Linked DNA regions of Cricetulus griseus. The protein of the gene in region 2 purifies or fractionates together with the protein of the main gene of each other region. This does not show direct contact. Links are inferred from orthologs where the notes say so. Each region holds a gene or a part of one and is shown on either strand. Other genes may lie near its edges.

Region 1 (6,188 bases), on a different chromosome or scaffold from region 2:
GGATCATTTGTTGACTCGGTTAGAGGTGACACATTTGGAGACCCAGTTCCCAGAAAATAAGTGTAGGATATAGAGGCAAGAAGATCACTCTTCTTTTATGCTTGTAGTCTTTGTAAAGCCAGGCATGGTGGTATGTTCCTCTGGAGTTGGAAGCAGGAAGATAGAACAGGGGTTCAATGCCAGCAAATTCAGGCTAGCCCTGGCATTAAGGATATCAGATAAACCCCAGAAGTTACAAGTGTTGACAGTAACTATGAGCTTGTTGCAGAGCTTTCTGCTGTCATAGACCCTATCCCATGCCTTTTCCTGCCACTGTTTTGTTCCTGTTCTGTCTCTGAAGAAATTATTGATGGCCCCAGTAGAGTTCTGCAGTTCTTCTTTTGTCTTGCATTACTCGTTTCTTTCAGGGCCTTAAGGTAGTGTTTCTTTTTCCTTCTTCCTAAATGTTGGAAAATGTCCTACTGCTAGCAAAGTTCTCTCAACCATCTGCAGAGATTGACCAGCAGTTTCTGTTACTTTTAAGAATTTTCCAGGCTGGGCGTTGGTGGCACACACCTTTAATCCCAGCACTTGGGAGGCAGAGGCAGGGGAATCTCTGTGAGTTCAAGTCCAGGCTGGTCTACAGAGTTCCTGGACAGCCAAGGCTACACAAATAACACCTCTTAACTAAAATAATCAAGGCCTAATAAAGAAGCCTAATAAAAGGAACTTTTTATGTTCTGATGAACAATATAAATACAGGCTGTATTTATATAAACTAGCCCAGGGTGGCCTCAAACTCTCAGGTCTCTTGCCTCAGAATCTTGAGTACGGACTTGTGTCTGTCTCATTCTTTATTCCTCAAACCACTGTTCAATGGTTTGAGGTCCTATAGATACTACTCAAGGAAATGGAGGGGAGCTGTCTGTCAAGTCAGTACACCGAATAAGAGATCTGAGACTTCACAGCCTTATCTGACTCCTTATCTGTATTCTCTTTAGTAATTCACTCTCTTTAATTTAATGCTTTCAAAGGCTGGGATTATTCTAGAAAAAAAGAGCCTTGTATTGCATCAACAGTTTTGTATTTCCTTCTCAAATAGGTGGGCATGTACTCACACATACTGTCCAGTCAGAGACGAGCATCTCCGTCTCCCCTGCTTCAACTTCAGCTCAGTCTCCTGCTTTATCCTGTATAATAAGAGGAATGTGTGTTTTATTTCCTCAAGCACCGTTTTGTAGTTTGTCACATAACTGATAAGAGATGAAAATGGTTCTATGGTTTTAAGCTTGGGGTTTTTTTGGGGGGCGGGTGTTTTTGTTTTACAATTTTTCACGACAGGGTTTCTCTTGTAACCCTGGCTCTCCCTGAACTCCTTATGTAGACCAAGCTGGCCTCTAACTCAAGAGATCTGTCTTCCTTTGCCTCTTGAGTGCCACCACACCTGACATAAACTCAGTATTCTTGGGCTGGAGAGATGGCTCAGCGGTTAAGAGCACTGACTGTTCTTCCAGAGGTCCTGAGTTCAATTCCCAGCAACCACATGGTGGCTCACAACCACCTTGAATGAGATCTAGTGCCCTCTGCTGGCATGCAGGCAGAAGACTGTATATGTAATAAATAAAATGTTTAAAACAAAACAAAACCTCAGTATTCTTACACTAAAGCTAAAAGGGAAAAGTAATGGGCACCCCATGTGAAATGTCAAAGTAAGGCATAGTTGAAATATATAATTTGAATACTTCTTCACAGGACCAGTTTACCTAATCAATGCTGATAGCAAAATTTTGGTAAAAGCCCTTTTTTGTTCGGTTTTGGTTTTGGGGGGTGGAGTGGACACAGGGTTTCTTTACGTAGCCATGGCTGGCCTTGAACTCAGAATCTGCCTGCCTCTACCTCCCAAGTGCTAGAAGTATAGACTGTTTTCAGAACATTTGTCTGCTGTCTCTTTCACCACTCTGCTTGACCCACCACCTGTGCCTTGATTTCTTGAGAAGAAAACGCTGAGCCAGATCTGGATGACAATGAGGAGGAGGAGGAGCCTGCTGTAGAAATTGAACCTGAGCCAGAGCCTCAGCCTCAGCCTCAGCCTCAGCCTGTGGCCCCAGCCCCACCACCTGCCAAGAAGAGGAGAGGACGACCTCCTGGAAGAACCAACCAGCCCAAACAGAACCAGCGTAAGTTGCCTGCCTTGGCTCAGTTGGCATCATCTCTCTCATTTGAGGAAGCCAGATTGGTCTGTGTTCTTGTGAAGATGGGAACTAAGCCATGAAAACAAGTGAAGGTCACATTGGCAACAGACTCTCAGGAAGCTTTTTTATTTTTTTTAAAGAAGTTTTCTCTAAAAGCCTGTTATATTCCTACAGAAAAAGTCCAGAGTAGGCTGGGTGATGGTGCACACCTTTAATCCTAGCACTTGGGAGGCAGAGGCAGGTGGATCTCTGAGTTCCAGGACAGCCAGGGCTACACAGAGAAACCCTGTCTCAGAAAAAAAAAAAAAAAAAAAAAAATTCCAAAGTAGAAGGATGCTGATGTCCTAGAGGCAGGTACACTGTTGATGTAGGAGGGTTTAGAAAACAACCAGTCACTGTGGCCTGTAAAGTTGATGTGGTTATGGATAGAAGGGAGCCAGATTTCAAGGGATGGGATAAAATGAGTGGACTGAGAGTGCCCATCTAGAGAGGATTCTGGTCCACAAAGCTGTGAGTGTCATTGTCACCCACAGTCTCAACACCTGGAGGACTGGGGCTGGCCTGGGCTACATGATGAGGAGGGGAAGGGAAAGAGAAAAGCAGAACTGAGGTGTCAGGGATGGCGTGGTGTGTCCCTTTCAGGCACAGGTAGAACAGAAGTTTACTCTCTATTCACTTCGTCTCTAATATGTTAAATATTCTTCCTGAGCCCGTGTTTACATGTCCATCACAAAGAAGGAAGTTAACTTTAGAGCTAGAACCAGGCTCTGCCTTTCACCTATATACACTGGATCAGGAGCACTATAGAGTCAGAAATATCATCGGCATCATACACTGATGTATTCCCAGTCATGTGTGCGGTTGGATTTTCTTCCCCTGCCTCATATTACTGTAAATCCTAAATTCACAACAAACATAAAGGAAAACTAAACATCTTAACAGTGCAGTTTGGAGGCCTATGAAGGTGGATGTCAGCATTTGGTGTGACAGTTTCTAGCCTATTGGTTTTTTTATGTGTGACCACTTTAACATTAGCTGAGGCTTGCTTGTGCTTTTTTCACTTTTGCTGTCTATGTTGATATATCCCCCCCTCCCCCACCTTGTCAGTATCTGAAAGGATCCCTGTACTCTCTGTGGACTTTAATGTACTATTTGTTTTGTTCCTGCTCTTCTTTGCCAGCAACAGCCATCATTCAGGTTGAAGACCAGAATACAGGTGCAATTGAGAACATTATAGTTGAAGTCAAAAAAGAGCCAGATGCTGAGCCTGTGGAAGGGGACGAAGAGGAGGCTCAAGCAGCCACCACAGATGCCCCCAATGGAGACCTCACGCCTGAGATGATCCTCAGCATGATGGACCGGTGATGACGGGGCCCTTGCTCGTCACCAGGACTATTGGGGCTGTGTTTAAACGGCCCACATCTTAATTTTTCTCTTTTCTTTTGGCTTTGGGAACGGCATAATTTTACACCATTTTACCAAACATACTGAGAACGAAAACTTCAAGGATGATGTTAGAAAAATGTGATTTACTAGAACTTGTTGTTTGATGTTAGCAAATCATGGAATGTTCCAAGTCTCTGAGGGTTTACTGTGAAGTGCTGAGGACAGTGTTGATGCCTAACTAGTTTTCTTAGATGGAAACAGAGACATTGAGCCCTCTCTCTTGATTTAGTAAACCACTCCAGAATGGCCACGGGTTTCCCAGAGTTCTATGGTCTTCCCAAGAAGAGTTTTTAATTGTAAATGCAGACTTGGGAAAGACTTAAGACTTTTAACCTGGTTTTTGCTTTTGCTTTTCCCTGACTCCCTTTGCTAGGAGTCAGCTGCACACCAGTAGGATGGCATGCTACGATCAGTTTCTGTCCTGAATGCTTTGCCTCTTTCTTGGCAAAGTTTCTGGTATGGTCAAGCTTGTAAATAACCTTTTTTACATTTTAATCTTTTCCATTAATTAAGAGGTTGAAAAGAAGCGCAGTGTAAGAAAACCCAGCATTTTAATTACTTGCAAATTAAGGTACCAGGGACTGGGTGGTGTGTAAATGTTGTATCTATCACAATCATGTGGCAGAAGGGCATCGGGCCTGCTGCCTGCTAGTGATGGACACCCATGTCGAAAGTTGTGATTTCCAGCTCATGGAGCCAGCATTTGAACCTTGAACAAATAACTCTCATTTATGATTTCCCATCAACATTTCCTTTGCTCTGTTTGTAGCTGAATGTTATATTTTTTAAATCTTTGTTAAAGCCAGAAGAGTTGATTATGAATGGGTCACAGCAGCCCTGGCAAGCTGGGCCAAAAAATTTCACTAGGTCAGTAATTTAAACTTTGGATCTGGAAAAAAAAAAAAAAGAAAGAAAAATGATTAATAATAATGTGAAGCAAACCAACTTAAAAAGTGATTCTTGCACATGAATTGTCACATGTTGATATGTGTTTTTTTAAAAGAGCCTCAGTCTGACTGATTTCAAACACTTTTTTTCTTCCGTGTATTGCTTTTAAGAGAGCCATCAGTTAGCTATCAGACTCTAGGTTGATGCATTTTTGTACTTAGCTGTACTGTGTGATATTTTTCATTATTTTAGGACGCCAACATGAGACCTGTAATAAAATATGTAATGGGGTTGAAAGCTGGGGAGGAGGATCTACTGCTGTACAGCTAATAAATCATAACGGATTAACAGGCACTCTGCAGACTCCATCTTTTGTGATTCCTGTTAGCTGGGGTCCCTCGGGGCCTATCTCAGCTTCCTCTAAGCAACAGCCTGTAGCTCGATGGTCCTGGCAGACCACAGCATGGAATGTATCCTGTTTCAAGTCGTAGTGCCAACAAGTGTGCAGGGATAGAGAAGTGCATGCTTAACATAGCCTCCTGTTTCCACGGTACACCTGAGATGCCTGCCCCTTACACAACAGGCATTGCCAGAGGATGCTGTGTCCTTGAGATCTGCTTTAGGAAGATTTACGGTCTGTCCTAGTTTTTAGCCAGACAGGGAGCAGAAAAGCTGAGCTCAACCTGTGAGAGACAAAGAGCATTGGAAAAGTAAGACAGGCTGAGGACAAACTCAGGTGATAATTCTTATTCCTTAGCTCCACGGGGGGGGGGGGGTCGTCAGATAATACATTGTAGTGGAAACCACATTGTGTGTGTGTGGGGGGGGTGTTTCACTAAAAATACTCCTTATTGGATTTCTCCTGTCTCTGTGTGTTATTTCACCAAAAGTCCAATACTGGTTTTCAGATGCTTTTCTGTGAGAAAAAGGCAAAGGGCAAGATTCACGCAGCTTGTAGCTGGCTTGTGTTACCTGTTCGAGCAATTTAATGAGGAAAACAACAATGGGCTTCTTGAGTCTGGAAGGTTCCAAACCAGGCAGGCATCTCACCTAAATGAGTACTAACAGCCTTGGACTGTTAGAACTAGAGTTATTTATAATTAGAAAATCCCTTTTACAGAACAGTCAGCCAGTATGCCCCCCCCCCTGTTTATGTATATTCAAATTTCCTGAAAATTCAAGAGTGCATCTGTCTTGGGCTAGCTTGGTGAAAGGGTCAAGCAGGAAGTGAAGTTCTGATGGAGCTAAAGAACGGTTTTGCACAGCTTGTGCTACACCTGACATGAGTCCATTAACCCCTCTACATCCAGCTGGCCATCACCCCTATTCTACTGTGAAAGCTTAGCAAATTGCTGAGCCTGCAGTAATCAGTAATCTATAGTCTGTAATACATTCTTTACATTTCTGGCCTGGCTTCAGCCCTGTCCACAGCTGTCCTGTTCTGTGAGCCCTCAGAACAGGTTCTTAGTCAGGTTCTTTTTCTAGTAAAACCACTTGCGGTGAATGAGCCCTCATCCAATGTTCCTCAGCATTAAGTTTTTTTGTCCTGCTGAGCTTCCACATCACCCGCAGAATCTGTCTTGAGTGTTCTTGGTCTCAGATTTGTTTGTCACTACTGTACCAACCACAAGCAGCTGTAAGCTAGACTTGGTTACCTCTGTAGATCCTGTTTTTTCCAGTAGT
Region 2 (6,188 bases):
CTTGTCTACAGAATGAGTGCCAGGAGAGCCAGGAATACACACGGAAAGTCTCAAAAACAAATCAAAATGGTTTCACTTTGTAGTCCTGGCACTCTGTATCCTACACTGACCCCAAACTCAGGAGATCTGCCTCCTGGGAATTGAATGCATACACCACCACCAGGCTCATTCCTTTTTTTTTTTCAAGACAGGTTTCTCTGTATAACTTTAGAGCCTGTCCTGGAACTTGGCTCTGTAAACCAGGCTGGCCTTGAACTACAGATCCAGGTATTCTTGCCCCTTTCTTAAAGGCTTATCAGACTGCCCCAAATTGTACCATTTCCTAGCAACAGCCTGAACCCTCAATCTGCCACCTCATGGAAAGAGCCAGAGCCATCAAAAGCTGCTTACAATGGCATTAACTGCCCCCTTCACTCCAAGTCATCTCCAACTTGTATTTCAGAACCCCAACCTGCCTAGATGTTAAGTCCTGGAGATGAGACTAAAAACCCCCGTCTGCTGGAAATAATCCTACAAATTATCCACCCAAATTATCTCTTACTGAATTCCATGCCATGCTTTTACAAAGCTTCCCTCCAATCAGCAACTTTTCCTAGAAATATGCAAGCTTATTTTACAGTCCAAAATTACCAGTCTTGCAGTAGAAGAGAAGAAATCTACCCTGACACACAGGACAGGAAGGCACCTAGCCCCGCTCTACCTTTAAAGAATCTCCAACTATTGAAAGGACAAAATTCCACCTGCTTGTAGGAAACACATTTATTTGTACAAGGGACAGCCACATTGTTCTAACTGCCATGGTACCTGTGCAGTAGGCAAGTTCAGTTTGGCTATGGCTGTGTGCTGTTAAGGCCCAGGTAGAGTGAGTTTAAATAAATGATCCTGTTATAATCCCATCTATCTTTTTCTAACACCCACTCGGCGACAAGTTTTGAGTCCACACACGAGATGCCGACATGTCAAAGAGCCTTTATTACTTTGTACAGCCTCATGCTTTCTTTCCAGCTGCCTTTGCAGCAGGGGTTTTCTGGGTCGGGGTCTTCTGACTCTTCTGACCTTTAGCAGGAGCTGCAGCCTTCTGGCCTGCAGCCTTCTGGCCTGCAGCCTTCTTGCCTGGTGCTGTCCCCTTCTTGGCTGGAACCTTAGCTTTAGCAGCTGCAGCTGCAGCCGCTGCCGCTGCAATGGCAGCCTTAGCAACAGGAGCTTTTTTGGGCGAAGCTTTCAGGATAGCAGCTCTCTGAAGTTTCTTGACCTCAGTCTTGATGATTCTGTTCCTCTGGAGAAAGACAGGAGAGCATTCAGGGCAGGCTTACACCAAACTTGCTCTATGTCCACTGTTGAACAAGCTTCACCCACAGAACTAAATTCAGGTAAGGATACTACTCTACAATATTGTGTGGGCATGATGGAAGGACAATTAGTGGGACGAGTTCTCTCCTTCTACCACCATGCTGCTCCAAGACTCAAGTCAGGTCACTGGGCCAGCATCCTAACCCTGATGAGTACCTTCACTCACTGCGCTGTCTCTCGGGCCCCAACCTAACAAGCACCATGAAACAGGGACTGGCCACTGTCTCCTCACACTCACACAACACATGTACATCTGAAAACTCACCATTTTCTTTGCTTTCATTACTTTGAAACGATCAAAATCTGTCATCTTGGCTTTCTGTTAAAAGAAAACAAAATGATCTCTCCTGTTGTTTGTCAGCACACACCCCCTCCCCACCCTCCAGAGCTCAAGGCTTCACGCCATTACCCTTTCTCGGGCATCAATCTTCTTGGCCCATCTTGTGGCCGACCATTTCGTATTGATATCTGCTTTCTCCCAAGCTTTCCGTACATATTTCTGGCGGGCACTATGTACATGAAGAGCAAGACCGTGGATTAATGAATCAGCTTCAGTTGTCTTCATAAAACATAGGCTAGACAATGCCCCCCCCCAGGGAATTCCAAAGACTGGAAAAATCACCTGTCTGAACACACATACTACTTACATAGTGCATGTGCATAAAACCATGTCCTTTTGTAATTAATAAAAGCCACTCCTTACACCAGTGTATACTTTGTTCATTAACTTGGCCAAGTTTCTTACCCACCCAAAACTTCCTTACTGCTTGCTATGAACCCTCAATACTCACCTGTAATCACTCCGTAACTACTGCCACCCCTGAACCACACTGTCTCTCAAAACATGCTGGCTGCCTCAGCACACCCAACATTGCTGACTTGACAACCACACTGCAAGGCAGGGCAGGCGTTCTAATTTGCATTTGTTCTGTGGCTTTACTTCCATAAGCTGGAAACAGGCTTTTTTATGTTGAATACTTTGTAACCACAACCATAGTCGCTTTAAAGGAAGGCATGGTAACTCCTTAAAACACACTAACTCCATCACCAAGGTAGGCCAAGACAAGAAGGAACCTATCTCAACACCAAAAGCACACAACTTAGAAACAAACCACCACAGGCCATCCTGGCCACTGCTCCATGGTGCTTGCCAACACAATGAAGCCACAAGCACAATTCTGCTCTAGCAACAACGGTAGCAACGCACCAAAGCCACTCTGGGAACGAGCCGAGTTTCTCATTGAAAACAAAACAGAGGAGCTAGGGGGTGGTGGTCGTGCCTTTTAGTTCCAGCACTCAGGAGTCAGAGGCCAGCCAGGTCTACAAAGCTATACAGAGAAACCCTGTCTCGAAAAAACAGTGGTAAGGGAAAGAGACCAAATATGGACAACTTTCATGACGGTAAAATGACTGGGCGACCCTAACTAATTAAGGTCCGTTTGCTGACATTCTGGGTTGGCTCTGAACCCTCTGTATTGGCAGAATATTCTAAAGGGGAAAAGCAGACAGTGGCACCAAATTGGAAGGCAGCTAACAGGGAGTGAGTTACCTGTGTGGGAACTTGAGGATGAAGTCAGTAAGCTGCATGCACTTAAAAGGCATGGCCTGTCTCCTCACCCGAGTGCAAGGTCCATCGACTAAAGCCTAGAATACAAAAACGGGGATCTCAGATGGGAACCTGGTCAAGATGCCCGAAAACAATAAAATCTCTTGACCTTTCCAAGACTGGGTATCCATGACTATTCAAATAAAGCCAACAGCGTCCTGTGAGCTCCATGGCCCAAGTCGGGGGCAAACTCCTAGTTCTCCTACCTCCTCGTCCCAGAGAGCTGATGACAGGCGTCACCACACCCAACTTCAGGGTCTTGAGCAAAATCTACCTCCAGCTGCTCTGAATTCCTTTTATCGTTACCTTTTTTGAACTCCCCTGCATTTTTGACCCCAACTGAAACATCTGCCTAGTGTACTTCCTGAGGGAATCTATGAAGAGCGAACTCTCCTCTGCACTTCAGACTCCGTGTCTAGCGTTCCCTCCAAGGGAAAGCTGTAACCTACAGAACCCCACCCGAGGGCCATCTACGGTGTCGTCAAAACTCACAGCCACGTTAAATGAGAGGCTGTGGGCCGCTTCCTCTTATACGTACTCTGTTCTGATCGATTACATCTACAATCGCGACCAGCTTGCCAGCATGAGGCCCAAAGGAGACGTAGGCCACCCGGCCAACCTCCACGAAGCGCCTGAACACCTGAAACAGATAAGGAAACGGGGGTTGGTCTTTTCTTTTTTTTTTTTTCCTTGATTTTCCGAGACAGGGTTTCTCTGTGGTTTAGGAGGCTGTCCTGGAACTCGCTCTGTAGACCGGGCTAGCCTCGAACTCACAGAGATCCGCCTGCCTCTGCCTCCGAGTGCTGGGATTAAAGGTGTGCGCCACCACTGCCCGACTTCAGGGGGTTGGCTTTAACTGTTCCAAGTCCGCTGCTTACCGGCTGTAACACAAGGGCTCAGAGCCGCTCACGGGCCGGATGTGCCGTTGGAAACCGGCGCTCTGCTTGGCTTAAAATGTCCCGCGGCCGCTGTCCCGGGGTGGCCGGGTCCCGGGGTTTGCTCTTACCCATCCTCCAAACCCTCCCGATCGGCTCGGACCCCCTCCCGGCGTAGGAAAGGACGACTGGAGGGGCCCGCGAGCTCGCCCACCCGCCTGCTCGCCAGCAGCAGCGCCGCCACCGCGCTCCCCGCCAGTGCGCACGCGTGGCCCAGGCTCGCCCGGCCGGGCCTCCACGCAACCGGGAGCCGCGCTCCCCCGGGGCTGGATTTTCCACGCTCCGCCGCCTGCCCCCGCGCGGCCCGGGTCGCGCAGAGTCACCCCACGCCGGGGCTGGCCCGCCCGGGGCGGAGGGCGAGCGCCCCGACCGCCGCGCTCTCGGAGCCCTGGGCAAGACACACTCACCATGTCGGCGGCGCTCAGCGAGAAGGAAGAAGGCCCGCCCGGCCGTGCGCATGTGCCGGCGGAAGCTCCGCCCCGACGTCCAGCGTGCCCGCCGATTGGTCGAACGCGGCCGTGCGTGCGTTGGCGCGTGCTCGGTGGCTGAAGTCATGGCGGCGGGGCCTCCTCCGGGCGGCGTCTTCTCGGACACGTGCTGGAAGAAGTTGGCGTCCTCGTTTCTCCGCTGCTGTTGCTGGGGTTTGGGTAGCGACAAGGTGTTCGTCCAAGCCCGGCCTCCCGGACGCTGGCACGACCGGACGGGGACGGGAAACCCGAGTCCCCTGCCAGCCGGGAACACGCAGCGAGACCCCGTTCCCCGGTCTTAGCACGTCACGCTTCCCCCACAGATCCTGGGCTGGATCGTTTGGGAAGAAATCTCCCATTCTTTCATGCATCCATTCTTTCATGCATTCGTTCATGCTCGTGTGCGGGCCTGTGTGCAGTGGCCGCGTCGGTCCTTCCTCATTCTTTTGTTGTTTTGGTTAGGATTTCTTGTTTTTGAAACAGGGTCTCTCTATGTAACCCTGGCTGTCCTAGAACTAGGTAGACCAGGCTGGCCTCCTCCCAAGTGCTGGGATTAAAGGCGTGGCCCACCATGCCCAACCCTTTTTATTTTCTGCCAGCACAAGACTGGGCACTATGGAGACCCAGAAGCAAGAGAATGGATAACTTTTGGTGGCTTGCAACAACAAAGTCTCTGAGACTTTGGAATAGTTTGGGTGAAATTCACACAACCCTGAGTGTAGTAAACAGATACAAAAAAAAGTATATATATATATATATATATATATATATATATTGTATTTTTTTATTTTACATAAAATTCACAACCAGCAAACCCCTTAATGTCAGAGAAGTATAGATTGTAGCTCTGAGAGGTGTCTCAGTGGATAAAGCACTTAGCGACGGGTCAGAAGTTCAACTCTCTTAACACCCACATGAATGTACAATGGGTGTAGTGGCCTGCCTTGCAATCCCAGCCCTCAGGAGTCTGAGGCAGTCGGGTCCCAGGGGCTCACTGAACAAAGAACCTGGCCTACTTTGGTGACCTCCAGGTCCCACAGTAGACCTTGTCTCAAAAACAAAGTTGGAAAGCAATGACGATGCCTGAAGTTAGCTACTGGCTTTACAGCGGTGCAGGCACAGCTGAACGTGCGGGTGCACACGTGGGAACAGGCAAAGCAAAACAACAAAAACTAGAACCCATCTTCCTTTTCCTTGGCGCACACCACAGTTGCTGGAGGGGCAGCAAGCTTTCTGAGTTCTGGTCATGCTGTCCCTTCATCCCGCCAGTATGATACAAGAGTGTTTACTTTTTGCAGACAAAGATCTCCCTGTCGCAGCTGTGCCCTTTTTTCCCCTAAGTGTGTATTAACTTAAAAAAAAATTAAAGACAAAGAAAACCCCTTTTTCTTGATGAGAGTTCCCTGGCTCTAACATAACCAGAGAATTGAACCCAGGTCAGGGAGGGAGGACTGAGATGGTTTAACATCCAGTGGTCTAGTGAGTACACTTTGGGGAAGTCCTCTGGTTTACAGGACTTTGCCATGACGATGCAGCCAGATTATGTCACCAGCTGCCATCCGGCAGTGTTGTCTTTTACCCTCAACCTACAGGAGAGACAGCATAACCTAGAGTCCCAAGGTCCTCCACCATCTCACCTGCACACCCTCCGATGTTTTAATATTTTGTTTTTTTCCTCCTGGAAAGACCAGAGCACATCTTTATCAAGAAGCATCAGGCTGCTTCAGATTTCTTTCAAACTCTGTTTCATTGACAAGGGAACCTTTTCCAAACAAGTCTGGTCTTTGCCATAGTGCAGCACTCCTCAACCTTTGGGTCGAGACCCCTTTG

Evidence for each region. The genes of interacting proteins can lie anywhere in the genome.
Region 1: the proteins of Rpl14 (region 2) and Ctcf purify together in Homo sapiens (affinity purification with mass spectrometry; 5 studies listed by BioGRID and IntAct, with this or other methods). This does not show direct contact. The link is inferred for Cricetulus griseus from reciprocal best matches to the Homo sapiens genes RPL14 and CTCF.

Annotation. Positions count from the first base shown.
Region 1 is NC_048596.1:181,959,554-181,965,741, forward strand, and holds the end of Ctcf (transcriptional repressor CTCF), read left to right. Parts: intron 1-1,973; coding exon 1,974-2,156; intron 2,157-3,351; coding exon 3,352-3,536; 3' UTR 3,537-4,859; downstream 4,860-6,188.
Region 2 is NC_048597.1:227,644,242-227,650,429, reverse strand, and holds Rpl14 (60S ribosomal protein L14), read right to left. Parts: upstream 4,437-6,188; 5' UTR 4,302-4,436; coding exon 4,299-4,301; intron 3,597-4,298; coding exon 3,495-3,596; intron 2,995-3,494; coding exon 2,900-2,994; intron 1,860-2,899; coding exon 1,760-1,859; intron 1,670-1,759; coding exon 1,616-1,669; intron 1,277-1,615; coding exon 989-1,276; 3' UTR 950-988; downstream 1-949.